Medicago truncatula: one gene and its partners. The main gene of each other region encodes a partner of the protein of the gene in region 3 in a complex. Links are inferred from orthologs where the notes say so. Each region holds a gene or a part of one and is shown on either strand. Other genes may lie near its edges. The genes, in order: carbon catabolite repressor protein 4 homolog 5, carbon catabolite repressor protein 4 homolog 3, carbon catabolite repressor protein 4 homolog 4 and carbon catabolite repressor protein 4 homolog 6.

The links.
Region 1: carbon catabolite repressor protein 4 homolog 4 (region 3) and carbon catabolite repressor protein 4 homolog 5 share a complex: the UniProt entries of both Arabidopsis thaliana proteins name them as parts of the CCR4-NOT complex. The link is inferred for Medicago truncatula from reciprocal best matches to the Arabidopsis thaliana genes AT1G31500 and AT1G73875.
Region 2: carbon catabolite repressor protein 4 homolog 4 (region 3) and carbon catabolite repressor protein 4 homolog 3 share a complex: the UniProt entries of both Arabidopsis thaliana proteins name them as parts of the CCR4-NOT complex. The link is inferred for Medicago truncatula from reciprocal best matches to the Arabidopsis thaliana genes AT1G31500 and AT3G18500.
Region 4: carbon catabolite repressor protein 4 homolog 4 (region 3) and carbon catabolite repressor protein 4 homolog 6 share a complex: the UniProt entries of both Arabidopsis thaliana proteins name them as parts of the CCR4-NOT complex. The link is inferred for Medicago truncatula from reciprocal best matches to the Arabidopsis thaliana genes AT1G31500 and AT5G11350.

What each region holds. Positions count from the first base shown.
Region 1 is NC_053047.1:39,091,942-39,099,191, reverse strand, and holds the start of carbon catabolite repressor protein 4 homolog 5, read right to left. Parts: upstream 3,005-7,250; 5' UTR 2,890-3,004; coding exon 2,718-2,889; intron 1,385-2,717; coding exon 1,221-1,384; intron 847-1,220; coding exon 781-846; intron 689-780; coding exon 636-688; intron 411-635; coding exon 329-410; intron 85-328; coding exon 38-84; intron 1-37. UniProt on the Arabidopsis thaliana protein: Acts as a catalytic component of the CCR4-NOT core complex, which in the nucleus seems to be a general transcription factor, and in the cytoplasm the major mRNA deadenylase involved in mRNA turnover.
Region 2 is NC_053049.1:47,848,947-47,856,634, forward strand, and holds the start of carbon catabolite repressor protein 4 homolog 3, read right to left. Parts: upstream 3,014-7,688; 5' UTR 2,928-3,013; coding exon 2,604-2,927; intron 2,516-2,603; coding exon 2,450-2,515; intron 1,450-2,449; coding exon 1,397-1,449; intron 1,302-1,396; coding exon 1,220-1,301; intron 611-1,219; coding exon 524-610; intron 84-523; coding exon 1-83. UniProt on the Arabidopsis thaliana protein: Acts as a catalytic component of the CCR4-NOT core complex, which in the nucleus seems to be a general transcription factor, and in the cytoplasm the major mRNA deadenylase involved in mRNA turnover.
Region 3 is NC_053046.1:10,822,629-10,829,689, reverse strand, and holds the start of carbon catabolite repressor protein 4 homolog 4, read right to left. Parts: upstream 3,024-7,061; 5' UTR 2,874-3,023; coding exon 2,827-2,873; intron 2,751-2,826; coding exon 2,653-2,750; intron 2,501-2,652; coding exon 2,460-2,500; intron 2,051-2,459; coding exon 2,001-2,050; intron 1,894-2,000; coding exon 1,824-1,893; intron 1,726-1,823; coding exon 1,601-1,725; intron 541-1,600; coding exon 398-540; intron 125-397; coding exon 1-124. UniProt on the Arabidopsis thaliana protein: Acts as a catalytic component of the CCR4-NOT core complex, which in the nucleus seems to be a general transcription factor, and in the cytoplasm the major mRNA deadenylase involved in mRNA turnover.
Region 4 is NC_053042.1:2,231,446-2,238,706, reverse strand, and holds the start of carbon catabolite repressor protein 4 homolog 6, read right to left. Parts: upstream 3,013-7,261; 5' UTR 2,948-3,012; coding exon 2,864-2,947; intron 2,781-2,863; coding exon 2,348-2,780; intron 1,440-2,347; coding exon 1,273-1,439; intron 868-1,272; coding exon 802-867; intron 1-801. Other genes in the region: protein STABILIZED1, read left to right, coding at 5,410-7,261. UniProt on the Arabidopsis thaliana protein: Acts as a catalytic component of the CCR4-NOT core complex, which in the nucleus seems to be a general transcription factor, and in the cytoplasm the major mRNA deadenylase involved in mRNA turnover.

The DNA of each region.
Region 1 (7,250 bases), on a different chromosome or scaffold from region 3:
TGGTAACATTGCCCATTTTAACCAACATAAAACTTACTCGGCTGTTAGTTTACATGTGTCAGATTCTGGATTATTATTGTTTACCTGTAAATAAATGGTGCAATAGAGTGATCAGATAAAAATACAAAACCTAAGATTATTGGTCTAATTCAACAAGAACATACATATGCATAGTAGTATATAGAATAGTACTAGGTATAATAGAATTTAAAAAAGATTTAATTTTTTTGAATAAAAGATAATAAATATATCTAATCAAAGACAACAAGCAAATAAAACACAATAGCTAGGAAACAAATTAAAAAAAATAAAAACAAACCGCATATACCTCCAAAACACAAAGTTGGGCAACATTGTGACGCATACCAAATTTCTGAAACTCTATATCTTCTTGGTGCAAAAGACTGAATCTGCATTCAAATTTTGAAAATATACTGCATTTAGGCCAAATTTGGAACTGTATTTTATCAATCGCATGTTCTATGATTTCTAAATCTTTGATCTATTGGCTTTCCTTGTAACTAGGAATGCTTAGGCAGTTATTGTCAAAGGTTACAAATGTAAGATATCAAATAAAGTAATTATAGATACAAAATCCTAATTATCTAATGGATTAAGGGGTAATGGAAACCCACAATTTGTCTTTCCAAAATATAGCACATCCATCATTGGCTTCTCCCGTGCGACCCTATTGGTAATAAGAACCCCGGTAAGGAAAAATTGATTAAATGTTTGGAGATCAAAAGCTTATATGACCATTCAAATATGTATATAACTTACCTTGTAAACACTTTTAAAGCCATTGTTCTGAAAAAGATCATCTAAATCATCAAAATGATCAACCTCCTGCAGACATTGGATTTCTAGAAATCAATTACTGACAACTTATTTCTAGGATGCATGAAATCAATTATGTGCCAACTGGCATTAACATTAACATTAACATTAACATAAGCATGAACGCATAACTTGCATCTCAACAAAACACATGAAGCAACGGTAAAAAAAATTACCACAGATTCCAATACCCTTTGGTACATGAATGCAAGTAACCAAGAGTTGTAGCTAAATTAAAAAAAACTATGTCCAACTCTTCTTTTTCAACATTTCAAGACTTGGTAGAGATGCATAAATGATGAATGTAAAATGGTTACAGGTTTGTTACAACATATTAAGTTGTGCTATGCAGTGTATAACATAGGTAAGGATTATTAAATTACCTGGAAACAGAGTATGCTTGCATTGTAGCTATCAATCTCTTCAAGTATGAGCCTCTTACGTCTGCCCCAATCCAGGAAACGTCGAGGGATATTAGAATACAAATCCAGATGATTTGATGCATTTTCAACGCCAAGTATATTGTATGAAACAACTACAATCGTATCTGCAAGACATGGAAAGGAATCAGAACAGTAAATATGAGATAAACACAATCTACTCTGAAGTCTAAATGACAAACATTCCATCACTAGCTCGAAAATGGAATGTTCTTTATCTATGACTTCATCACAAACAGTTCATTATGTTAACAACCCACTATCTATAAGCAAGCAAATTCCATCATTCTTTACATTCATGCCACTTTTATTTTTGGTAAATATACGATTATAAGTGACTTCAAAATTTTGAAAAACAGTCAACAATCATGATTGTGACCATGACTTCAAGATTTTTTATATGTACATGATTGCATCACGACCAAAAATGCAGCCGCATCAAACGCATTTAAACACAAGTTTACTCAAAATTAACAATCTCAACACAACCGGAATTCAGACCTTACAATGATGCTACTTAGTACCAAAGATTTGTTACCATAGTCACTACTCTAGTAAGCAAGAAAGAAGAAAATGCATAACCCTATATGATGGATTCCAAATAAAATTTCTTTCAAAAATAACTATCTATCCTCACTCAATTAAACTTTACCAATCACAATCTCATTATTGTTTCATACGGAAATTCTCAATTTTAGTTTCCTTACATTAAAGTCTCAACCTTAGAAATCCAACACTTAGGCCATGTTTAGATAATCAACTTAATTTGCAGCATACAGCATAAGCGCTTATCGTGATAAGTGCTTATGTATAAGCTATTTCGATAAAACAAGATAAATAAATCCAAACTGTTTTTTGTATAAGCCGAAAACAACTTATGAATATGTCATAACATAAGTTCTCTCAAACAATATCACAAGTGCTTATGCATATAGATTGTATAATTTTTAAGCTGTTTTCATAAGCTATCCTGGAGAGCTTACGGACATAAGCTGAAAACAGATTATAAACTTGTCATAAGTTGTTTTGATAAGTTCTCTCAAACAATGTCACAAGTGCGCATAGTTCTCCTAATCAGTCTGGCAAAAACTTATGCCAGTATACTCTCAAATAAGTCAATCCAAACAGATCCCTCATGCTTAAAAACCAAACCATATCAACTTTTTACCAAACACTGCCAATTGAATCAACTAGCTTATCCAATATAGTTATCCACTACTAGCTTATCAATTATCTGCTATAAGCTAATCCGCTAAAAGTTAACTAATCAGCTATCTACTATTTTTTACCAAACAAACCCTTAATGCTTAAAAATTAAACAACATTAACATTTCAGCACAAAAAATGAATCACATTTAAATGCAAAATTTCAGAGTGAAAAATAAAACTAAAAAAATGATAAACTTTACAAAAAGGATAGAACTTTCTAGTGATTCTGACCGGCGCAATCAGAATAATCTTCAGAAGAGAAAACCCATTTCCTAGAAGATGAGGAAGAAGATGCTAGTCGATTAGAGCTTGAAGATTCGAAATGAGAATGTTTTCTACGCTTTGATGGATAATTGCCGGTTGAACTTTCCAGTGGGAGATTCTCCCGTTTGCGACGTGGCATGGTGGTCGCCGGAGTAGAGGATTACGGTGGCGCGTGTGATAAATTAGGGTTTGATGGTTGATTTAGGATACGGTGTCGTTAAAGAGGTAATTATTTTGCAATTTGGTTTTTTATAAAATAAATAATAGTGATGAATAAAATGTATTAAGTGTGGTACCTTTTTAAATATAATATTTAATATTCAAATTAAAAAATTAATTTAATTTGTTTTTGAGAGAAAAATTTAATTTAATTTTTTTTTGAGGGAAAAAATTAATTTAATATAATGTATGAAATCACAATTTATTTTAATAGTTATGGATTGAATGTGTTTATATATTGGTTAAGAAAATAATTGAAATTTTTATTTAGTGATTATTTAACATATGTGTGGTTAATATCATGCTTTGGAGGATTGAATACTAAAGGAAAGAGACATGGGTTGGGAAATGATGAAGAAGAATGAAGGTTTTCTTTCATCTTGGTACACATATACGTCATCATGTCGTTTGATCCTTTTTCAGTCATTACGTCAGAATTTTTGACCAAGTTAATGTCCTAGTTAACGTCAAAGATTAAAGTGACTTATAAATTGAAAAGTGAAGGATGTATTTAGATCATCGTTTGAGTCAATGACTAATATAACAATGAGTTACACATCCAAGAATCTAAATAATGGTTTGTCTGATTTAATTTCTTATCTCAACTAAACCAATGTTACCCGCGCAACTATGGCTACTTAATTGATGTCGCATTCTATAAAAATTTAAGTATAAGTGCTTAGTCTTAACTCGACTAGAAATGAACGGAATAAAAAATACAGAGATATCAACTCACAAACCCATTGTTCTAAGATTTTATTTTTAGATAGAAATATGATATCAAAGTCTCATACAACATTGAAACAATTGTAGTTAATTTGTCAATAGTCCACAATCATAACCTAATATGTGATCAAACAAATGGATAACTTTCAAATTCTAAGTTTGATTATTTTCTAGTAAAGTTGGAGAGCCCCTAATATGGACCACTTTTTTCAAGGACCACCCATGGTCCTTGCTAAATGACCAACAATAGTGGGTTGACACACTTCTTCTAAGTTTACATGAATCTTTATTTTCACGGGCCTTTTGCAATCAAAACCAGTAAATCATCTAATTCACAACAAATCACTAACTCACTCTAGTTACCGCAACTTTAATTTCACCATTTAACAAAATCTTAAATTCAATCTGGTTTCCGGTTCACAAACGTATTCGCATTTGAATAAGTCATTAAGCACAAAAGACAAGCTTCAATTTGTTTTTTGAGAAAAAGGGAAACTGTTAATGCTTTCACATTCTCCGCATAAACAACCACAATCAACACCTCCATTATAATCACTTTCATACAAAACCCCAAGTCAAGTTTGGAACAAAATTAATGGCTCCATGGACCGAGGATGTTATGCGGATAAAACGTCATGAATGGGTGGTTTCAGAATCGACGGTGGTGACATATCAAGCATTTTGTGGTTGTTACATTCTTTGTGCGGAAGTTGTTCATCTTGATAGACTTGAAACGGATGCGGATAAACCGTACAAAATGTATACCGGAGTGGAAGTGTAATTACCTACCTGCTATTGCAGGTATTTACTAAGGACCATGGGTGGATCCTAAAAAAAAAATCCATATTAGTGGCATTACTTTGATATTTCCATGCATAAGGTTAAAATATCACCCAAAAAAGTATAGTTCAACAAAATGAAGTTTACAAATTATGGATTGAATCAATAAATGCCAAAAAATAGCAAGAAGACAATCTAATCTGACAGGGAATCAGAATCCAAATTTATTGGAGTTGGACAAATACTAAAATTCAAAGGTCAAACTTCATTGGAACTCAACTACAATGTCATGTCACAAAAAGATTGGATAGAACAAGTTTTCTTGTACAACAAGTAATCTCATTTTGGACATTGCTGCTTTCTTGTTTTGATCCAACATGAAAAAAGCTTTTATTGTCCTTTCAGTTATAAATTTAGGATAACATATATATGACAAACTGATCAATGGTCATTTTTAGATATTTTGTGTTGCATGCTGAGAGAGGAAATGAAAGTTGCAACAGTGATGATATGATCATGGGAATCCTGCAGGTATTGCTGAATCTCTTGATACTGTAGCCATGATCTTCTGACTTATCTAAGTTAAGATTATAAATAAATTTATATCATGAAAGATATATATAATATATTTGTTTTATTTTCACAAAAAATAAGCCTTGATAAAACCTCTATATCTCTTTGTAACTTAATTAATATATTGCATTTTGATATATCAGTTTATGTGGTGTAAACTAAGTTATTGCCATTACTTGTTAGACCAAATTATGGATAATTTGCATTTAAATATGAACATTAGTTGAAGATTCAAATTATAATATGCTGCTGATTTAGTATAAGTGAAAGAAAATATTGTCAATTTCCTCCTCATTTGTTTAAGTAAAATCTTGATTTAAAAAACCTGCTATATGTAGCATATACTATATACTATATAAGTTTTGCCAATAAAGTTTCAATTTATGTCATGAAAACCTTGATTTGTGCAGCCACAATCATGTGCGGTGAGTCACATTTTAGTGGTTCAATCAAGATCGGAAGATTCATATTTTAAACTTGATATCTTAAATGAATGTTTGGTATCACGAATTCACGATGACTCATTGTGATTTCGACAAACCTACCGTAATACCAAACATGTACTAAAATTTAAAAATCAAAATCAACATTGGAATCTAAACCTTTTAATCTTGATCAGATTGTCTACGTACGTTTTATCCTTGTGAGTTTAGCTCCGTTGGTAAGAACAATGCATAATAATTTATGTAAGGTTTGAGGTTCAAACCCCGGCCACCACAAAAAAAAAAAAAAAAAATTATCTTATCTACGTATTTAAATGCATGTTTGGTATAACGGTGACTCATTGTGATTTCGACAAACCTACTGTGATACCAAACATACGGTAAAAATTAAAAAAAAAATCAAAATCAACGTTGAAATCTAAATCATTCAATTTTGATCAGATGGTCCACATATGCATGACTGACTACATTACACAATCCAAATTCTTTATATATACACCTACACTCTCACACACACAATTGCCACAGCTACATCATGAAAGAGGACAAAGTTTCTCTCGGATAAAGTAGAAAGTTTAGACATTGAGCCATTGCTGAAAATCTAAACAGCATTGTACAACATTCTTTAAGGAGTTATATTTAAGGAGCAACAAGAGGGAGGGGCCATTTGGTGGGGGAAGGGGGGGTACCTTGTCCATTTGTGGTGGAATGAGGGGTGAATAAATAGTAATTAGGAAGCAAAGAGCTCCTTTCTTTCCAATACGAAGGGCTAAGTAGAGGCAAGAGCTGTCATCTCATGCATCCGGATAAACTTAAATGTTTGTCGGCTACACGACATGAAGTTTGACCAAGTGCATGATATGAGAGCAACTCCACCTTTCTGCTTAGTCCTACCATTGGATTGAAGGGAGTTCTATGTTTCACTTTAATGTTTTTCTTTCATCATGGGTGAATGAATTCAGTTGCTGTTTTATGCTCTTTGAACAGGTTTGTTTCTCTCTCATTCTTGTGATTAGGAGGTTTACTTTTTACTTTTGTTATCATGTTTATATGTGCAGATTTTCAAGCTTTGTATGATAAACCAAGAGTCTTCCAACAACACTGCATCATGTGTTTGCTTTGCCGGATTCCCTGCTGTAGGAAAAAGACATCTTTACATGCATTAAACAATATTGACAGTTAATTTGAGATTGGACGGCTCATATTACTCGGTGCAAAATCAATAAGTGGTAGAAAGTCTGCATGTTTCGTGTTCGACACCAGACACATATAATAGGTAGTTTTGCCAAGAACTAGGTCTAAATACATTGTATAGTAGGTAGTTTTGCCAAGAGAAGATCACAAAAGAGATAAGATGGTTTGGATGCTATTGTGCTTGAAATTTTGGTTTTTTTTTTTTGGACTTTTTTCACAAAAGAAAATATAAACTTATTTAATCTAGATTTACAAAAGCATGGTTATCAAATCAAGATTTAAAATATGACATTATTAAAGTTAAAAATATCAAAATTGAACATAGAATTGTCCAAAATAGATAGATTACTACACCAACATTTATATCTAGCAATTTTGAGTTCAGTTTTGTAAGGAATGAACTCCAAATCGTTCCCACTTCCATCATCCAACTTCGGTCCAATCGCAGTACCGATGTAACTGTCAACTTGCTCCATCGCGCCACCATCGTCGTAATAAAGTGGATTTGGATGGAGACTGGCCAGGGCGTCCGACGCAGGTGGAAGGTAGAGTTTCAAGGTGACGA
Region 2 (7,688 bases), on a different chromosome or scaffold from region 3:
CTATTAAAATCACCAGCTAGGATTACAGGGGCATTACCCCATTTCTCTGAGAGGGACTGTGCTTTTGATGAGAGAAAACGAATCTGCAACATTTAATATTTCACAAGATAATGTAAGGATTAGGGGTAGGCATTAAGCTAATGTAAATACTTAGATATAAGAGAAATGATATTTGTACAACCATTTTCTAAAACTTTTGTGACAACTTTCTCTCTCATACTCACATTATATTTTTACTTTCTCTCTCTATTACTTTGATATTTGTACCAATACATACTTTTCTTGGTAAAAATGTGGTTGTCCATTTAGTTGTCAAGCAAATTGATGTTCAAATAACACTACTCTAGATATAAATAGGGTTTTCAAGCTTAAGCCAATGTAAATACTGAATAGTATTTCCAAGATAACAAAAACATTTTAGGATTAGGCATTAGTAGTTATCCCAACTGATCAGCTAGACCTTTATGCAAAGGAGGGAGTAAAAACCTTTGTTTATAGGTCAAAGAGGGAATAAAACACTTACTTGACCTAATTTAACTTCTCCCCTGTTTGGGTTATAGAGTACGTGGATATTACCAACCAACAGTCTTCTTGAGTCAGATCCAGACATCTGCCTGTACAGGATGAAGTTAAAGATGCAAAGAATGACCAATGGATGCACGGTAGGACAATGTTTACATTAATAAAGCTAAGACAATAAAGGATTGCTACTGCTTATATTCAAGCTATTATAAGAGATCACGCGACATAAAGCAAGAGTTGACGAAAGGAGCAAGGAATTCAGGCAGCATTCAAGTGCCACAGCACTCATGTTTGATAAATATGCCCACAACAACGTTAATAATCAATGTCACAACTATGTAAGGTATTCTCCTTTACATGCACATTTTCTACATTCGGAAAGTCATGAATGCAATGCAGTCATAAATCGGCAATGGTTCAAACCCCATAGGTAGCAAACACCTACTGGGAGGGAAACCTTGCATATGCTTGTTTTATGGTTCCATGGGAGCAAACAATCTCTAATATTTTCTTCTAATGGTTTAGTGTTCTGATTAAAGAGTTTTCTGACGCTGATTTTGTTTAACTGTGCCTAATGCAGTGCTCAAGTAATTTTTTTAAATAGAAAAAAAAAATTGTAAAATACAAGAGCAGAAGCGAAGTTTTGAAACGCCAAAACGAATAAGCATTCGCGTCATTTGCATCAAGGAACTCATACCTCAAAAACTAGAAGTTGAGCAACATTATCACGAAGGCCAATGTTCTTGTATTGAATGCTTTCTCCATCTAACAATCGGAACCTAACAGACAAATAAGAAAAAGACTGACCAAAGTGAATAAACTGGTATCAATTTTTATCTAACATAACAAGCAAAGTGAGCTACTAGTAGATTACTTATCAGCTTTCCAAAACATTGCACAACCGTCAGATGTATCTCCAGTGCGTCTCTGCAGCTCCATTGACATAATTCATTAGGCTCCCATTAGTTAGAACTTATAAACCTACATATCAAGGTGTACTACTACCAATACTATAGTGCTAAATATTTTTTCACATTTTGACAGAGATAAATCAGCATGTCTTATTGTCAATGCAGATAAAATCAACTAAGTTTTATCATTAATTTATTAATGAACCGAAAATTGATCGAGAATATACCAGGCACTAAGAAACCAAAGTAAAAAATAGAAACTCAAACCCTAAGTTGAAGTCTTATTTAATGTTTCTATACCATAATATAAAGAGAACTAACTATCAATTGTGGATTTGTCAAAAAATATTTTTCTTTACCATTTTATGCTTAGTAACACTTTTTTTTCCTTCAAATTTTTAAGGGTTTTTCTATCATGTGCAAATTTACACATGTTAAGAATTTCAAAAAAGTAAGTTTGAATGGGAACTTGTGCATTTAGTATTAAATATGTATCATTTTAATAGATACTTGTTGTTTTTCCATAAAAAGTGTTCACTTTTAGTTGCTTTAACATGTGCAACATTGCACATGTTAGACAAACCCAATTTTTAAATTTAAAAACCTACAAAATTGATATTGAAACTCAAGTTTAGGTAGCATATTATGAAACTGGAACAAGCAAATTATATCAGCATCCGGAAGCAATAAATAGCACTTAGGGCCTATTTGGATTGGCTTATTTGAGCTTATCTATTGACATAAGTTTTGTGAGACTATTTGGGAGAACTTATGAAAACAGACTATGAGGACATCGCTCATAAGCTGTTTTTAGCTTACTTTCATAAGTTCTCCAAGATAGCTTATGCAAACAGCTTATAACTTATCCAAAAAGCTTTATTTTATCTTTTGCGATAGAAATAGCTTATAGATAAGCGCTTATGATGATGAATGCTTATGCTATAAGTTGTTTATGGAAACAGAGGCATAGTATTAAATTCAGAAAAATGTTTAAAGGAAATGAAAGTTACTAGCACCTTATAAGAACCTGCATATCCTGCCTTAACCAAAATATTGGAGAGTTCAACGTACATGTCCACCTCCTGATCAATGAGTGAGAATAATACATTTTTGAGTTAAACAGCTTAATTAAGTACTTATTTGCATGGTGAAACGTTGGTTCTTACTTACTTGTAAGCAGATAATATCAGGGTTCCATTCAAAAAGTTCTTCAGAAAGAATCTTTTGACGGCGATTCCAATTGATGTAACGAGAAGGAACATTAACGTATAAATCAGTGTGTTGAGAAGCATTTCTATCAGCAAGTATGTTATATGAAGCTACTGTGAATCTCTCCGGTGATGCGAGGGATTGATCGAATGCTTCAACCCAACGGCGTTGGATTCCGCGAGAAGAAGAATTGGAATTTGTATTACACTGGCAGTGAATTTGTGAAGCTCTTGTAGGGAAACTGAATTTGAAGAAAGAGGAGATGAGCCAAGTTGAAGAGGCCATTTCCAAATCAACAATGAAACGCGCCACAATTCGTTATCTAATCCCGATGCTTTTCTCTCCTTTCATTTTCCCTTAATACTCTACTTGCTTTTATTTTAAACTAAATTAGTACAACACAACCTTCTCTCTCATACTTATATTATATTTTTATTTTATTTTTTTCTTTTTTCTTTCTATTTGTTTTTGACCAATAAAAAAAAAAAAGTTATATATCACTACTCTCGTTTTATATATCCTTGCAAATCTTAATTTGTAATATTCCTCTTTTTTAGGGAACTTGTAATATTCCTATTCTTGTCAAAAAACTATTTTTAATATTCCTAGAAAAAAAAATCCTAACGTGAAACCTAATCTATATCTATATTTCTTTTTTATTTCTTTATTTCTTTTTAAGTCAGCCTCGTGCAGATTTAATAAATTCAAATTATTAAAAAGTGTGTTTATAAGTTACACAAGGTAAGAAGACAAAATCACTATGGATGATATGCACTAAACTAGTCAATCAAGTTGATGGTGAATCAATATAAAACATGCTCTCTCTCATTTACACTTCATCTATCTCATTTTAATAGTCGTTTAAAGATTATGCATGGTTTTTAAATAAATTATTAATTATATTGATTTTAATTATAAAATTAGGTGTCATTTATTAAAATAACATTATTAATTATAGTTAGTTGAATAATTAAGTTGGATGAAATTCAATAAATAAAGGTATAATAGTTGAATAAAATAGTAAATGTTACATAAGTGATTAATATTTTGAGCCAGAGAAAAAAGTTAAAGAAACAATTAAAATAAGACAAATGAAGTATTTTGTTTTAGAGCAAATTCCATATGGTTTAACTTCATTATTGTGTACATATATAAATGAAGTTAAATGTTTTGACAAAGAACCTCTAATACTTACTTAACCTTTTTTCTAAGCAATAATGGTTATCACTAAAAATAATTTAAAACTAAAAAACACAATTCAAATCTCATTTATTGTGTTTCCATTACTTTTTGAAAAGAGTCTGAAGGTAATTTATGTATAAATGTATTTTGAATTGTATAATCTAAAACGTATTTTTCAACTTCGAATTATACAAACTAAACGTTTTAGAGAAAGAGGGTCTATCGACGTTTATGGTCACGGATAATACACCCTCACGTCTTACTCATATTTGCAGAACAAAAATAATGCAAGGTAGAAATTTTATCCACTCATCAACTACTTCAAACTTTACAATCAATTTACCACTTCTGGATCATCCTTGACAATTTTACGTTTCAATAAATTGGATAACTTGAACAGAGAATATATTATCTTAATATCTAATCCTAAGGTACATTATGCATACCCCATTTTCTAAACCCTAATGCACTGGGCGGAAAAATGCTCATTAATTGCCGAATTTGAAATTCAAATTTCACTGCCAGGGAATACAAATTTTGTTGTTTGTCTGCCACACTCCTATTTTTGTTCAATTTTCAGAAAAAAGATCAAACTTTGTCTTCTCTCTCATTTTGGCACAATTCTCTTTAGTTTCATTCTTATTGTCCCAAGGAAAAAAAAAAACCTCTGGGATTACACGATGTTTTACACATCCGATCCTTTTATGACCTTTTCCCCTTCTTCATCTACCTTTCCTCACCTCCTTCTCCCTGCCACCATCACACCTCTACCTTTTCTTCTCTTATTCATAGAATTTTTTTCATCTTCCCTTTCTTAATGTTCTTTGTTTCCTCTGTTCAAGATGTGGTATGGATTTGGCGACTGAAGATTAATAAATTTCACTCATCTTCAAATCATATCTATGGTGAGTTGTTTCCTTTTTCCATACATTTATAGTTAATTCATCACCTTCTTTGTTAAGTTTTCAACTTTAGTTACTTCTTCTTTTACATGTTTGATTGAATGCCTCATTGGATTTTACTTTTACAACTCATTCTTCTTGGGTTACAAATGTGAGTTCTAGATTTAGGCTTTGGAATTGTCTCAATTTCCGCTACATTCTTCAATGAATTCTTTTCTTTTATTCAGTAGGTTCTGAATTCAACTTTCAGCACTACTATGCAAGAGATTGAGAAGAGATAAAATATGGACCTTGAATTTATTTTCTTTATCTGGGTAACTTTTTTTAGATGTACAATGTTCTGGATTTTCCCTTTGAAAGAATTAATATGGATCTAAACAGAGTTTATTGGATGCAGATCAATACCATGTATTTTGTTTTATTGGTGCTGATATGAATTCAACTAGAAGTAGCTTTGTAGGATTGATCCAATAACTGATATTTTTTAGCAGAAACTGTCATAGAGAGGTTGGCTATTGAGTATTTGCATTTCAGTTTATTATTTGTATGCTCCATCGCTAGCAGAGGAAAAAGAATTGGCATATGAGTTTTTACCTAAAATACTACTTCATATTAATGTTTTATTTGCTGTAAAATTGCTTTATACATTATGTATTCTTAACTTATACTTTGGGTGTTGATTACATACACATGTAGTATGTAACTTTATTAAAATCCAACAACTTTGAGAAAGAGCTTTCGTCACATTTCAAGTTACATGTGTTGCCAGAAAGATAGTGCTTCTATTAAAATCCAACAACTTTGAGATAGTGCTTTATGCAGACTTGCTAGAAAGATCAACTGTGTTGCCAGAGAGTTTTAGCAGATGTGGAACAAATAATCACAACATTGGCCTCTATTTCATTCCTCAAGATGAAAGGTGATATTTTGCACAAACTTGAGAAAATTGAAGGTGTGAGTTCCTATAATGTTAATGTGATATTTGGACTTCACTGCTAGCCTATGTAATGGTACTCGGTTGATAATTACAAAGTTTGGTAGTTATGTTCTTGAAGAAAAGGTGCAATCAAGAAGCAACATTGGGGAGAAAGTCTATATGCCTAAAATGTTAAAAATTGTACGGTGATTACATCAATACGACTATTAATGTAGCATATAACAGATGTTTCAGAATGTTTAAACATCAATTGTCAAAAAAATAAATAAAAATCCTATTAATAGTCTCCGTACAATTTTGAAGTTGCAGTAGTTGATAAATTGCATTTTAGTATCTTTTTCAATTGTTCCCTTTTTTCATGTGTATTATTATTTTTAACATTGTATTTGGATTAATTAGATTATTATTTAAAACATAATTGAATGTTTTGTTTTCCATCAATATGACCCGTGCGGCAGCACGGATGCAAGGTCTAGTTATATTCAAATGGAAAACAACACACCGATAATTCAACCTATCCACCTCTTGCAAGTTTTCCCTATGACTTAGTTCCTTCAAGTGTGTACAACACTCATCCGGTAAAAGAAACTGCAACTTTAAACTTATCCCGTAAAAGAAACCAACTTTAACTAATAGAACAACGATTGTGTGACCACTTCCGACCCACTTAATTAATACTACATCCGTCTTTAATTACGAGACCTATTCAAATTTTTTCTTTTGTCTATTTTTATAAAATCTCTTTCAAATTTCAAAGTATATTAATTATTTCTTTATCAATATACCTCTTTTTTTTAAACATTATCAATACACCTTTATTTATGTTAGTAGATGTTTTCTCAACGGTATATAATAAAGGGTTAATAGTGTTTTTCACCCCTGTAATATAGGCTATTTCCAGTTTTCGCTCCTATAAAATTTTCGGTTTGATTTGCATCCTTGTAAAACTTTTTTTTTTCTTTCCGGAAAACACCCCTCCTCCATCCAACTCATCAAATGCGCATATGTGGCGCTGACTTGGCTTTTTTTTTTTAATTTTTATTTATTATTAATTGTCTACATCAGATTTTATTTTTTAAAATATTTGAAAATTAATTTTCAAACAAAAAAAAAAACAGAAATATTCAGATTTTTTTCCATAAAATTTAAAAATTGTAAAAAAAAGTTTTTTTTTCAAATATTAAAAAAATCAGAATTAACGATAAGATTTTTTTGAAATATCGGTTTTTTTTTTTAAATTCAAATATTAAAAAATTAGAAAAAACAAATTCAAGCTTTTAAAAAAAAGTCATATTTTTTTCCAGAAAAAAAAAACAGTTTCTAAATTTTTTCTACAAAAAAAAATTATGGAAAATGTTTTATTTTTAAAAATTTGGATACAATTTTTAAAAAAATTTAGAAGAAATTCAGTTTTTTTTTTTAAAGATTCTGAAGTTTAATTTTCAAAATAAAAAAAAAAAATTAGAAAAAACAAATTTGAAATTTAAAAAAAAAGTCATATTTTTTCCCGAAAAAAAAAACAGTTTTAAAATTTTTTCTACACAAATTTTTTTTATGGAAAATGTTTTATTTTTAAAAATCTGGATACGATTTTCTAAAACATTTAGAAGAAATTCAGATTTTTTTTCAAAAATTTTATTCCAGATTTTTCAATTTTTTTTTAAAGATTCTGGAGTTTAATTTTCAAAATAAAAAAAAATGTTAAATTAGAAAAAACAAATTCGAAATTTAAAAAAAAAAAACAGTTTTAAATTTTTTCTACAAAAAAAAATTCTGGAAAATGTTTTATTTTTAAAAATCTGGATACAAATTTTTTAAAAAATTTAGATGAAATTCAGATTTTTTTTTTCCGAAAATTTTATTCCAGATTTTTATTAAATCATTTTTGAAATTAAAATTTTAGAAAAAAATTATTTTCTAATTTAAACAAAAATAAAAAATTTGGAAAATATTTTTCGAAATAAAAAAAATCCTGAATTTTTTTATTTTCAAATTTTTAAAATTTATTTTATTTCTAAATTAATA
Region 3 (7,061 bases):
ACAATAAGAAATTGTTGAGAAGGACCATTGAATTTAAATGCAGCCAGAATTCCAACACAATCACGCTTTAGTCTCACATGAGGATCATTAGGATCTCCACGATCTACTGTACCCGATGTAGGTCCTGCATCAGAAAACCAATTAATGAAGAAGCAAAATGCTCAGAAGTCTGTACAAGTAACAGAAAATTCTCATTTTCTGTTCTAAAACAATCAATGCAGGAACATCAATGAAGCAACAGAAAGTATAATCTCAAGAGTACAATCTCAAGAGTCAAGATATGAAAATACTTTTTATTAAGAATAGAATTACACACACACACACACACACACACACACATACACATATACAGAGAGACAGACGGACACAGAATAATTTTATTTCAATTTGCATTTACCAGCTTTGGTCGCATCATCCTTTTGTTTATCTGGCTGGGTTGTCTGGACATTGTTTTGTTCATCACCATTTGAAGAGTTCTCATCTTGAATTGTCTTTACAAGATCATTGTATTCAATTTTTTCCTCCAAGAGCAACTCTGCACTAAACAGCACAAGGTATGGATAAATTTTATAAAGATTATAGGTATCAAACGAAAAAAAGACCACAAATAACCTCAAAAAGATGAGAAGGCAAAGAGAGAGGACGGATAAAGAGAACCATAGTTGCCGGAATACCAAATAACTGATAACAAGCAAGAGTATCATTATTGCTTAATTCAATTACCCCATAATTACTTCCGGGTTTTTGTTATTCATGAATCAGTGTATCTATTAAACAAATTTTTCAAAGGAACAATATCATATAAGTGCTTCTATGATCACAAGAGTAATATTCAAATCCTTCCAAGCTTAAAACTTACACTCTACTAATATGCTGACACAAGAGAAAGGGATTTCAATTTTTAAAATCAATAATTGGGCCCTTGGATTAGCAAAGTAATCGTAGTTAATCTAATTCAAAAAGCATATATTCCGGTACAATATCCAAGCTAAGGTGTGCTTCAACCCCACAAAAGTCAAAACCGACTTGTAAGGTGATCATTGTCCAAGCGAGAAAAGAACTAATTAGATCGTATCTTTAGTCAGTGTGGCACTCTTAACATATTACCCTTCAGATTGGACATCCATAGCGTGGATCAATGAGGGTGGAATGACACAGATTTGAACACATCCCTTCAAGACCACGACAGAACATCTAAAGTGTGGACAAATGCGGATGGAATAACAGAGAACTTGACCGAATAATAAATCTAGGATAGACTAAGATACCATTTTAGATTTTGGATCTGAGGGATAACTTAACTTCATCAAAATCGACTTGTAAGACAAGGACTGCTCAATAGTTTTAGATCACAATCGCGGATGCATTGTGATCCTTGATATAGTGAAAAAATTCCAGTAAAATATAACCGATAGAACCACAAATGGAGATATCATAACACTGATGTCCACGTCATTTTCAAAACATTGATCGTAGGCTCCTATCTAGCACCAATTATAGCTCCAATAACTATAGGCATAATCTCTACTAGTACATCATAAACATGTCAATGTAAAACTAAAAGCTAGCTAGTTGAGTTTTGCAAAAATGTTGTACATACCGGTCATGCTTGTAAAATATGCCACACCCATCACGCTTTTTCTCTCCACTTCTCTTCATATAAATAGAAGAATATCCCAGCTCCTGCATCTTTCCTTTGTAAAAGCTATCAAACTCGTCAACTTCCTGAAAAAAATCACCATAACAAAGAACATTATTCAAAAGAAAGTACTCAAATAATCAAAACTCAAGGCAAAAGTTTGAAATTAAATAAAAGAAAAAACCTGTAGGCAGAAAAAATCAGCTCCCAAGTTCTTGAGAACATCTAAAATCGAGTTTGAACGATATTTCCATCTACAGAAAGCAAAATCAATTATTACAGTTAAAATTCAATCTACATATGCAAAAAATTGTTACGCTATCAGTATTCAAATTCAAAATTAAGATGAAAAGTATGTTACTTGAGAGACGAAGGAGGTGAGTATGGGAAAAAAGAGCTCTTCACATAAACCTACAATACATAGGAAAGTATTAGAAAATAATGTTATAGCAAATACATGGTAACGGTATCTATATACATACTAGATTTGAAACCTTTTGTCCAATATAGCACTGACACTTCATATTGAAGGTGTATTAAGTTTCTGACTTGTATCAATGTCAGACACCAACACGACACTAACATATATAATTAACTATTACTAGTGTGCATGCGTGTGAGTCTCACTTCCTAAAAATGTCTTCGTAGGTTACTCCCTCCACTGTTTTTTTTTATAAGAGACAAACGAGTTAACAAAAGTTGATATATCTGAATCATAATAAACACAAAATACATTAAGTTTTGTTGATGTACCGGAGGGAGTATTTTAGTTGGTAAATGATAATCGTAGCATAAAACAAGATTTGAGAAATTAGCATACCTGAGCCAAAATGTTATAGGAGACAAGGCTGAATCTCAAGCCTGAATTAAATATAAAAAAAAAAAAATGAAGAAATTCGGCAATGATAAAATTCTTAGAAATCTGAATGACATAGAAAATTCTTTATCGCATCAAAAAGTATCCATGCTTCATTATAAACACGAAAAAAGTATGAGAGGAATGTGTTACTTACCATCAGGTTTAGTTCGGGAATGTATATCGACGCCTTCAACTGAAATGAATTTGGGATATGACATTGGTGTTGGTGATGTGCTCATTTTCCTCGCAACACTAAAGTAATTGAGTTGAATAAACAAAACACCTTGAATATTATATACTAGTTGATTGCATTTTAATGAATAAATACCTAGTTGCAGAGAGTGAATGAGGAAGCGAAGCAAGAGCTTTTAGCATAGCCGAAACTGACAGCGCCGTTTTTCTACCATTTGCTCATTTCGTTGACATTGTGTCAGATCTAGAAGGATTCATCCTCAGGCTCAGACTTCAATTGGACCAGGCCAAATTATACCCAACTTAAACATCAATTAATTTTGCTTCGGAATTGCTCTCTAGACACCTAGTGATTCTCACATACACCTCAAACTGACAAAAAATACAATTAAATTATTTCACTTTTAGGCTTTTAGCAATGAGTTCAAGAGAAAATCTCCGAGAGCATAGCTTAGTTGGTATGGATATTGCCTTTTATATGTAGGGACCGATGTTCGAACTCCAAACACTCAACTTATTCACAGTTAAATTGTGTGAGCTCTAGCCACTAGGCTACTTAACCAAAAACAAAAGAGAGAAAAGACGCATAAACTCAAGTTTATGTGTAAATTTTGGGCACTACTTGCACAAATACTCATTCGTCCCATAAAATTAACATTCATGTATTCCTTCATACGTTAATTTTTTCCTTCGTTCATTCCATCATTCATACACTCATTCATAAAATTAGACACAAACAGTCATTCGTTCAAGCATTCATACCATAAGATTAACATTCTAAATTGACCAAGTATCTAAGTCATTCATTCATTCTAAACCGAAAAATAATTGTTTATGTAATAACATACCAACATTCATCATTTATATGAAACAAAACTAAAAACAAAATGCAACAAAAATCATCGGAAAGTCCTCCTTTCCTTCTTGGACTTGATACAGAGTGGTCGACATTGTTTCATTTGCAACACGCTGAAGACAGACATATAGGTCGTCATATAAAGTACCGTTTTTCATACCATCCACAACAATGGTCCTAACAATCTTTAATCAATTCAATGTGTCCAGGGCATCCCTGGCATGCTCCTCCTCAATCACAACCACATTTTCCGACCTAGGTGAATCTTCATTGATCGGGGGCACTACCTTCGGATGACTCCACCACCAAACCACTTACTTGTAGGTTTTTACAGGAAATGTGGCAACAAATCTAGTTTATATGACTTAAATTTGTTGGGAATCAAGAAATAGTAGAATCTTGTGTAATTATTACTTATATACATGTTTGATTTATGTTTTCAAGATAAAATTTCTCATAATAAATTTCTTAAACAATATTCTTAGGTCACTTGTTATTATAACCTTTTTATATTTAAGTTTTTTTTATTAGTACCAGGAAAATATCAAACCAAAAACAAAATTACATATGATGTCAATGATAAAACTCCTAACATTTTTAACATTTAAAGGTCATACTAACTAGTGTTTCAGAGACATTAGTCTCTAGTATCTCTACGCACATAGACACTCCTTAGCATTTTTAACATTTAAATCATGAATTCCCTCAATTTAGATTGATGTGAGAGGCTGATGCAATTACACCACATTCTCTTAACCAATAGCTCTTGCGGGACCAATGAGGCCGTAGTATGCTACTAGGCCATTTTCAACCAACGACTTAAAACCAATAAAGCACTTCAATTCTTAAATTTATTGGTTCCACTTCGACTTGCGTATCAATTCAAATTAAGAGACTTAAAAATAGCAATTTTATTTTATGAGTGGAAACTAGCTACAACAACTAATCATTGTGGTATGATCATTTTCAAACATCAAAGTTCATGCAATTCAAGAGTCTTATTTCTATACGATATGTTGATTGGTTGACGTATATCTGCCATTATTTTTTTGCATTAAATTAAAAGGGTCAATTCCAGAATCATTTCATGTTTCTAGACGGCTTCTAAACGTAATCAAGTTTTAACCACCATGTATATATCCATATTCCATACCCACTTACTAGCACATCAATATTATCCATTCAGATAAGATTGTGTTAATTAACAATGACTAGTGGTTTTTTGGTATCGATCATATAAAAATTACTTTATTATTTCATAAATTTAAAGAATAAATTATTGGTCCTTATGATTTTATAAATCAATAAAGTTAAAATAAAACTGTCTCATAATTATTTGGTAGGTGTTTTGGACCTGTCAGAAGATCAACCACACAATGACATGTGACCTAAACTTATACCACTCTAAAATTCTAAGCTTGGATAAACACGTCAGCTTGAATGTACCGTACCATACGGAAGTACGCTGTCGTGTGATGATCACTCTACACGTATTTATCATCTAATACATGAGAAAAATTAGTTAGAAGTGTGATATGGGCACCACACCAATTAATTTCCCTAATTAGCTAGCTCTTTTGATGTTAACATATGTTAAGATGATTAGATGCAAAAGCAAACAATTAAGTGTACAACAACATGACAGGTGTAGTTGTTGACTTAATTTCTTCTTCAGTTAGTTAAACCAAACTGATCCTAACAAATGAAGTTGTGACATTTTAACTCCTCAAACACAGATAGCTAGCTAGCTAGGTTCTTATTGGTCAATATGGTACTCCGAATTTGGTTTCTAGCTAACTTTATTTCTGTAAGTGAGAGGCCTAAGATTTTATCCAAATAGTAACACTAACGTCCTTTTCACATTATGAAATTCCAGTTGTTCTTTGTTAATTTCACTTCCATATCACATGCTATGTGCAATGCATTTAATTTTTTCAGCTGCCTTATGTTTAGTTTATCATTTTTCTGTTAGGTGTAGGCAAATAATCATCATTAAAATTATTGTAATATGGTCTCTTAAATATATTTTTATATGATAGAAAGTTGCATTGACATTTGATACGTAGAGTAGCATATTTGATAGAGCGGAAATGATAAATCTCGTTAAGCTATATTCGTCAAAAACTAACAAATGATATTTTAACGTAGAAAAAGGAACTTTGTTAATCTCTTCTCCTCAACTAACAATTGATATTTTATGTGGTAATAGTAGAATTATATTGTTGCTTCATGCTTATTACTAGATTAATCTTGGGTTAAATTATATTTGAGTTTCGCTTAGTTCTTTAAATTACAAACATTAGATGCTTTGACCCTTTAATTTTTTTTCTTACATTCAATTTTGATCCCTTAAATTGTATTACGTTCATATGTTGATCAATTAAGTTTCAAGCATATAAGATATTTCAATCCCTTAAGTTACAAGTGATAAATAAGTTAATTTTCTCTATCAATCTCTTAGTATTTGTAACTTAATTGATCAAAAGTGTTTAAAGTTAATGACTTAGTGGACCAAAGTCTATAACATTTGTAACTTAACAACCAAATTGAACAAGAAAAAAGTACAAAGAGACTAAGGTGTGTAACATTTGTAACTTAATAGAACAAAATTAAACCAAAAAAAATAAAAAACAAAGGATCGAGAACTTGCTGCCCAATTTTCAATGGGAACAAAATAGAGGTAGTATTTTTTTTATGAGAACATATATAACATGCTATAATATTTTTTTTGTGTTTGACATTGATTTTATTTTATTATAACATGATCGTGATATATTGGTTGCTCTTGATAGAAAAATGTTGTAATGCCCCCTTCCCCATTATGTTGAAGCAAGGAAAAATGTATATTTTGAACGACATATTAATATATCTGTTCATAGGAATAACTTGTTACTAACATAGTATAATGTAACATGATTTGCAAAACATTCAATATCTGTCTGGTTTGTTGACCTCACCAATTGTTCACATTTGTCATAAAAAGAAGAATTATTGGCTTAATTTCAAGTCAATAATTTAGAATCATCCACTAATAGTGCACTATTAATTTTTTTTGAAGGGTAGTGAACTATTAAACTCTTGACCTTGAAATATTTATTGGACTATTAGGGACGTGTTAACATATGGGATTTAAGTTTAAAAAGTAATTTTGAGTTTGGCAGTTGGCACAATATATAATAGTGACATAAAAATGTGACATTTTAAAAAGCACCGCACACCGTCAATTGCGTATGCCAGTTGTATAGATACACCATAAATAAACAACTTCCAAAACATTTCTCAAAAGAAAAAATATTAAAAAGATACAAAATTCTCCAGCCACCACAACTTTCCATTGCAATCATGAGATTCATATTCCATAAGCCAAGTCTTGTTCATACATGGTTGAAAACCTAACTAATGTACTCCTAGTATGTAGCATGTTTGTCTACTGCTCTTTTTAGTTTTACAATGTCATTTATGCTTAGAGAAAGCTGAGATAAACGTGAAGACTGAGTATTCACTCACATACACAC
Region 4 (7,261 bases), on a different chromosome or scaffold from region 3:
GTCCACATCACACGACAAGTTACAACTTGTGGAATATAGAGAGAAGTGGAATGTGGAATATGGAGAGAAGTGGAAATACTGCCAATCTATCATTATATGATACACACACTTATACAAACATGCTTCTCAAGTAAAATAGCAAAAGTGGGGTATCTCTGTCTTTTGTATGAATGGTATGCCAACCCTTTACTTTGTATAGGAAAGTAAGAGGGTGTGTTGGGATTTTTTGGTAGTTAGAGTACTACTTGTACTTCATCTAAATTGGTGGATCTAGCATCACTTGTACTTATATTCTATCATATTGAATAAAAGTTGTTTGCTGTTCAAAAAAATAATAATAATAATAATACAAACATGCTTCTCAAGTAAAAGCAAAGTTCTCTGATTAAATAGCTAGCTAATATCAGCATTTCTACTCCCAAAAATGACAGAGAACTATAAAAGCCCAAATGAAAGGGACATTCATATATTTATGAATAAATATTATGTAATGTCTGATGGTCTAATCATCATAAAAACAAAAGCAGCCAAACATTTTCCACAAAGTGGGATGGCTACATGGATTAATCAACATTGTAAGGTTCAGGCAAGTATTAGTTCCAAAAATATATCAATGATAGTTTGATTATCGCATAGACATAAAAATGATGTCATCTTAACAAAGTTCAAAGTAGAACCAAAGCCCGAGAGAAAAAGAACAATACTAATAAAAAGTGGCACCAGCAGCACTGAACAAAAAAAAAATTACAGTAGGAATGCTTATGTCATGTAGCCTTCAAACATATAGATCATCTAACCAACCTTCCAGATGCCTCTGTATCCCTTAAACTTCAAATCCTCCTCCAACTCGTGAAACCTATCAACCTCCTGGAAAATAAGATCGAAAGGAAATTTTCTTTAAACTCTACAGTTAATCAGATTTTCCATGTGATGTGCAGTATCCATGCATGTAACACAATTGAGAAATAATGATGATATGATCAGCAAAGAAGGCATGAAAAAAATTCCAAATTTTGCTGAGATGTTAATGTAACTCAAAAACCCAGTTTGACAAATTAATGTAAAAGCATTTTTTGGAAAATGAGGTAGAATATGTGATGATATGTAAAATTTCAAGTCTGAAGCCAAAAATTATAAGTGAAGAATCTCTCTTGCAATATGTCATCGAACCAAATTTTACAATAGTGTTACAGTGTATGGTCACAAACATGTCAAATAGCATATTAGAGCAAGAAGTTAGCATTGTGGCATAATATGTAATAGATTGATAACCTGTAAACACATGATATCGGCAGACCACAGGCCAAGCTCCAAAACAATTTTACTCTTTCTCCACTGCCAGTTCAACATGTAAGAAGGTATATGATAATAAAGTTTTCTCCAGTGGTCCATAGCAAGGTAGTCCGCCAATATATTATAGGAAAGGACTTTAAACCTTTCTGTTGTACAAAGAAAGAAAAAATACAGAAGCTAAATTAGTATGGCGATGTATTGATGTAAAACTCCAAAACAACAAATCATGAGCAACAAAGATTGGGAAGAGGCAGGAGTGATAAACAATCAACCTCAAACCTATCGTCCTCTCACTCACCAAATCATCAGAGAGTTACAATATTTTCATTTATGTAGTAGATTTAGCTCTGAGACTCCTACTTTGGACATACTTCTAGCAAAAGATTGAAATATTGAACCAAGTTTTCTTCTTACCACCCTCATCTTTTCAATGTTTTTCACCTAAGTAGTGGATTAAGGTCCTACTTAGGACATAATTATAGTAACATATTGAACTTTTGAACCCAATGGTTCTTCTTACCACCCTCATTTTTCAATTAAACTTGTGTGCTCCGTCCATTAAGCAATAGCATCACAAATTTAGAAATGCCATTTACCAAACCATGTATCTCGAATTGTCATTTGATTTCTTGAATTAATGCCTAAATGCATGTGGTTTTTCCTTGATATTAGCAAGTTTACAACTCACATTAATTTTTCGTAATCTGACAGTTTTAGGCCCTGTTTGGATAAACAGCTTAATTTGCAGCTTATGCATAAGCTATTTCTATAACAATAGATAAAATAAAGTTAGTGTTTTTGTATTGGCTATAAGTTGTTTTTATAAGCTATCTCTAAAAACTTATAAAATAAGCTAAAAACAGTCTCAGAGTGCTTATGTCGGTGGATAAGCTCAAATAAATCAATTCAAACACGCCCTTACATGACGCAGTAAATATGAACAATGCAAAACAGCAACATTATGAATTCAGACTGCTAAAAATCAAAATCAACCCAATCCCTAAGTTTTAAACCAAAATCATAATAAAATCACATAGTACAAGAGTGAAGTTACCACAACGAGGAGGTGGTGGCGTCAATGCATTCTCCCACTCTCGATAATCTGCAGGCTTTGCATAAAAATTCTGTTGCGGACGAAATTCACGTCGGTTATCATACGGCGGCCGAAAACGCAGTGGCGGAGGATGAGGCCGAGGATTATAAGAAGGATTCTGATATTGAGGTGGTGGATGAGGACGAGGATTGTAAAGTGGATTATGATGGTAAAACGGCGGTGGAGGATGACGATGAAGATCGTAAGGTGGATATTGAGGTGGTGGATATGGACGAGGATTGTACTGTATTTGATTCGCAACATTTTCACTCTCACCTCGCCGGATTGCTGAATTGGCGTCGCGGACTGACCGTAAGTGATCGTCTCCGGTAGCTAACTGGTCTCTTCCGCCGGAGTATGAACGGCCGGAGTATCCTCTCCGGTGACCTCGGTGCTGCAAAATTTGAAGGAAAAAATGAATCCGTTGTTAGTATGAAGAAGGGGAGAGAGAGAGGGAGGGAGGGAGGGAGAAAGTACGTAGGGGCGTGAAGACATTGTGGCGGTGGAGAAGGCGGCGTCGGTTGCGGCGAGGAGATGGAGGGACGGAGGATTGCGTCGCATTGTTTGGGAGTGAAACTGAAACTATGAGAGTGGAAAAAAGCGCGTCAGAAAGTGAACTGGCGCGTTTATTCACGCTCGTTTAGACGCGTGAGGTTATGCACGAATCTAGATAAACTAAGAAAAAAATTATTTATTTTTTGAGAGAAAAAACTATATTTTTAGAATTGATTTAATGGAAATGTTAACCATTGCCCTTGTGGCATTGGTTAAAGTATTAAAATAAGTAAATTTACATCGAAAAGTGGTGTAATCATTGATAAGAAAAAAGTAAAGATTTATATTTTCAAGATAAAGTTTCTATTAATAGAATCCTTAACTATTGTTCTTAGGGCATTGATTAACAAGACCCTTGATTTAAGAATTGAATAATATTTGATTTTGCCAACAAAGGAGTGTTTGTCAAAAGATACTAAAAGGAGTGATAACATTGACAACAATTTTTTTGTTTGAAGATGTTAAATTAGTTCATCCAAATTAGCATTGGAGAAATTGAAGTTCTGAAGTATCAAGTCAATACCACCAACACTCTTTTTTTAATATTCTCTCCAACCCTCTCATTTGTATTGGATGAAATTAAATAGAGTTATATAAAGTAATGAAACTCCCGTAAGTTTCATGTAATAAAAGTGATTGTGTTAAAACTAAGGGAGGAAAAGACAATGTTGTTAACACTCCTCTACGGTATGTTAAGTTGGACACTTTAATTCGAATTTAAACTTAAGACTTTACAAAATTACGATTGTGTGTAAATTTTAGGCGTGCTTGTCACTTTGTATACCGACAAGAAAAAAAAAATACTTAAGCTTTGATTAAAAAAGTGACAAATTTGTTATTTAATCCAAAGTTTAGTCTATTCACTTAAGTAAGTAAATTTTGTTGGCCTAAAAGACTTTTCTTAGTCCATAAATCATAACTCAATCGACAAAAAAGCTAAAATTAACGCGGCATAATTTCTCACGAACCACAACTTTGTGTGAGTGGGCGTGGTAACGAAGAAACATCTCATCATTTGTTTCTATCTTGCGATTTATTTATAACTCTTTGATACCTCGTGCATATTTAGTTAGGTTCCTCTTCGGTTGATCCTCATCATATTTCAAATCATTTTGTTCAGTTCGTTTACTCATGAGGTGTTTATAAAAGCGTGATGTTTCTTTTCGCATCTAATTTAGCTCTCTTGCACTTGGGTTTCATGGATTGAAAAAAAAAAAAAAAAGGTTATTCAAGAACAAGTAAAAATCAATACCTTCGATTCTCAATAATGTAAAAATTGCTTTCAATTTGATAGTTGAAGGCAAAATATGCTAATTTTGCCTTAGGTTATCATCGTTAATGGCTATATCATTTTATTTGCCTCGGCATAGGTTGCTTTTTTCCTATTGGATTGTTACGGTTGTAAAATTTGATAAGTCTGTCTGATATAGGGATGTAAATGGATGTCCATGGATGCGGATAATGTGATATCCGTGTCCGCTCCATTAGACAAATATGAAATCTATGTCCTATCCATATCCGCGCGAACATCCATTTAGCAGATAATCCACAGATTTTGAGGTATCTGCGAGTTTATACAGATATCCATGAATACTATTTATAATAATAAAAAAAAAGATATTAATTTTTTTTAGCTGAAATTTAAAAAAGTTGACCACATGCATTTTCTTTTCTTTTTAGTAAAACATAATATCACTACATTACAATAACAACAAAAATCATTGACTCAACAAAAACATAAATAAAGTTCTTTGATTTGACAAAAGTATAAATAAAACTCTCATCATATTCAACAAAAACAAAACTTCTTGCTTCAACAATCCCGACCACTTTCACTACCTTCTAAAAGAGTGTAATACAAACTTGAAAAATCGTGTAATAACTAATAACAACTCACACTACCGAGGTTTTTTCTTAGAAATTTGAAAAGTATTAAGGTTATTTATGTAATTTATTCGGTTTAATAGCAGGTATGGATATCTGCGGGTGCGGATACCATTAAATCTGCATCTGTATCCATTAATTAACAGGTAGATAAAATATCCGTTTATTTTATCCATGGATATCCATTAAAGTATCCGCTCCATATCCGTGGCGGATATCCATGGGTGCGGATTTGTTTGCCATACACTTTGAGAATGTTAATATATTCCATTTTATCTCGTGAAAAAAAAAAAAACAAATTCACTCGACTTATTTTATGGCTTATGATTGATCTTTTTAGTGAGATAAATACTCTTTTATGGCTTAGATAAATACTTTTAAAAAGACTTATTGTGTGTTTGGAATCACGGCTGGAACACCTTTTGCACAAACATGCTATTAAACATTTTCAATTAAAAAAAAAAAATCTGACTTTGGGTTTGGGCTGACGTATGCTTCTGGCCTGTTCTCATCTAAGAACGAACCTATAAATATGTCGGTTTACTCGTTATAGAAACCTATTTTGAAACTGTTTGAGATTAGCGATGAATTTTCTAAATTCGAAACCGCCTCCCAACTACGTCGCCGGACTTGGTCGTGGCGCCACCGGCTTCACCACCCGCTCCGACATCGGTCCCGCACGCGCCACCACAATAGGCAATCCCGAATACTTTAGAGGAAAAGAACCCGCAAACGACGAAGACGATGAAGATCATACACAATACGACGAGTTTGAAGGTTACAACAACGCTGGATTATTCAATTCGGATGATTACGATTTTGATGATAAAGAAGCCGATGAAATTTGGGATTCAATTGATAAGAGAATGAGTAGGTCTAAGAGAAACGATCGCGTTCTAACAGAGGAAAATTCAAAACCTAAATTTACTGAACAATTTTCTGGTTTGAAACGGAATTTGTATACGCTATCTATGAAGGATTGGGAGAGTCTTGATGAATTTCAGAGTGGTATTCATTCATTAAGGAATAAGAAGAAAACTAGGTTTGAGAGTTTTGTTCCTGTTCCTGATACTCTTCTTGAGAAAGTAATGAAAGAGAAGCAACATGTGTCAGTAATTGGTGGAAATGATTTGAATGCTGTTGGTGAGGGTAGAGGAAATGTTTTGTCATTGAAATTGGATAGGTTATCGGATTCGGTTTCGGGGATGACTAATGTTGATCCAAAGGGGTATCTTAGTGTTCTTTGTAACAATGTTATTGCTAGTGATACTGAGGTTTCAGATTTTAATAAGGCGAGGTTGTTGTTAAAGAGTGTTACTCGAACGAATCCGAAGTATGCTTGTGGATGGATTGCGGCTGCCAGGTTGGAGGAGTTGGCGGGGAAGGTTAAGGAAGCAAGGTTATTGATTAAGAAAGGATGTGAAGAATGTCCGAAGAATGAGGATGTTTGGTTGGAGGCTTGTAGGCTGGTGAATCCAGATGAAACGAAGGGTGTGATAGCGAAAGGTGTTAAGTTTATTCCGAATTCTGTTAAGTTGTGGATGCGGGCTTCGGATTTGGAAGATGATGATGTGAATAAGAGTAGGGTTTTGAGGAAAGGGTTGGAGTGTGTTCCGAATTCGGTTAGGCTTTGGAAGGCGGTTGTGGAGCTTGCGAATGAGGAAGATGCTAGGCTTTTACTTCATAGAGCCGTGGAGTGTTGTCCTTTACATGCGGAATTGTGGCTTGCACTGGCCAGGTTGGAAACTTATGACAATGCTAAGATTGTTCTCAATAAGGCACTTTCTAGGTTGCCAAAGGAGGCGACTATATGGATAGCGATGGCCAAGTTGGAAGAAGCTAATGGGAATACAGACAAGGTTGGCAAGAGAATTCAGAAGGCTTTGGAGGAAGGAGGTGTGGTGATCAATAGAGAAACTTGGATGAAGGAAGCAGAGGTGGCAGAACGAGGTGGTTCGATTGAAACTTGCCGAGCAATAATAAAAAATACAATTGGAATTGGAGTTGAAGAAGAAGATAGGAAGAGAACATGGGTAGCAGATGCTGAGGAATGCGAGAAAAGAGATTCTATTGAGACTGCCAGAGCTATATATGATCATGCCTTGAATGTCTTCTTAACTAAGAAGAGCATTTGGATCAAAGCAGCACAACTTGAAAGAAGTCACGGTACAAGGGAATCTTTTGATGGTTTACTTCGTAGAGCGGTCACCTACATACCACAGGTTGAAGTTCTTTGGCTTATGCTTGCCAAGGAAAAATGGCTTGCCGGAGATGTGCCTGCAGCTCGAGCACTTCTCCAAGAAGCTTATGCTGCCATACCAAATTCAGAGGAATTATGGCTTGCGGCTTTTAAGCTCGAATTTGAAAATCACGAACCTGAAAGAGCTAGAATGTTGTTGGCTAAAGCAAGAGATCAGATAGGAGGTACAGAGAGAG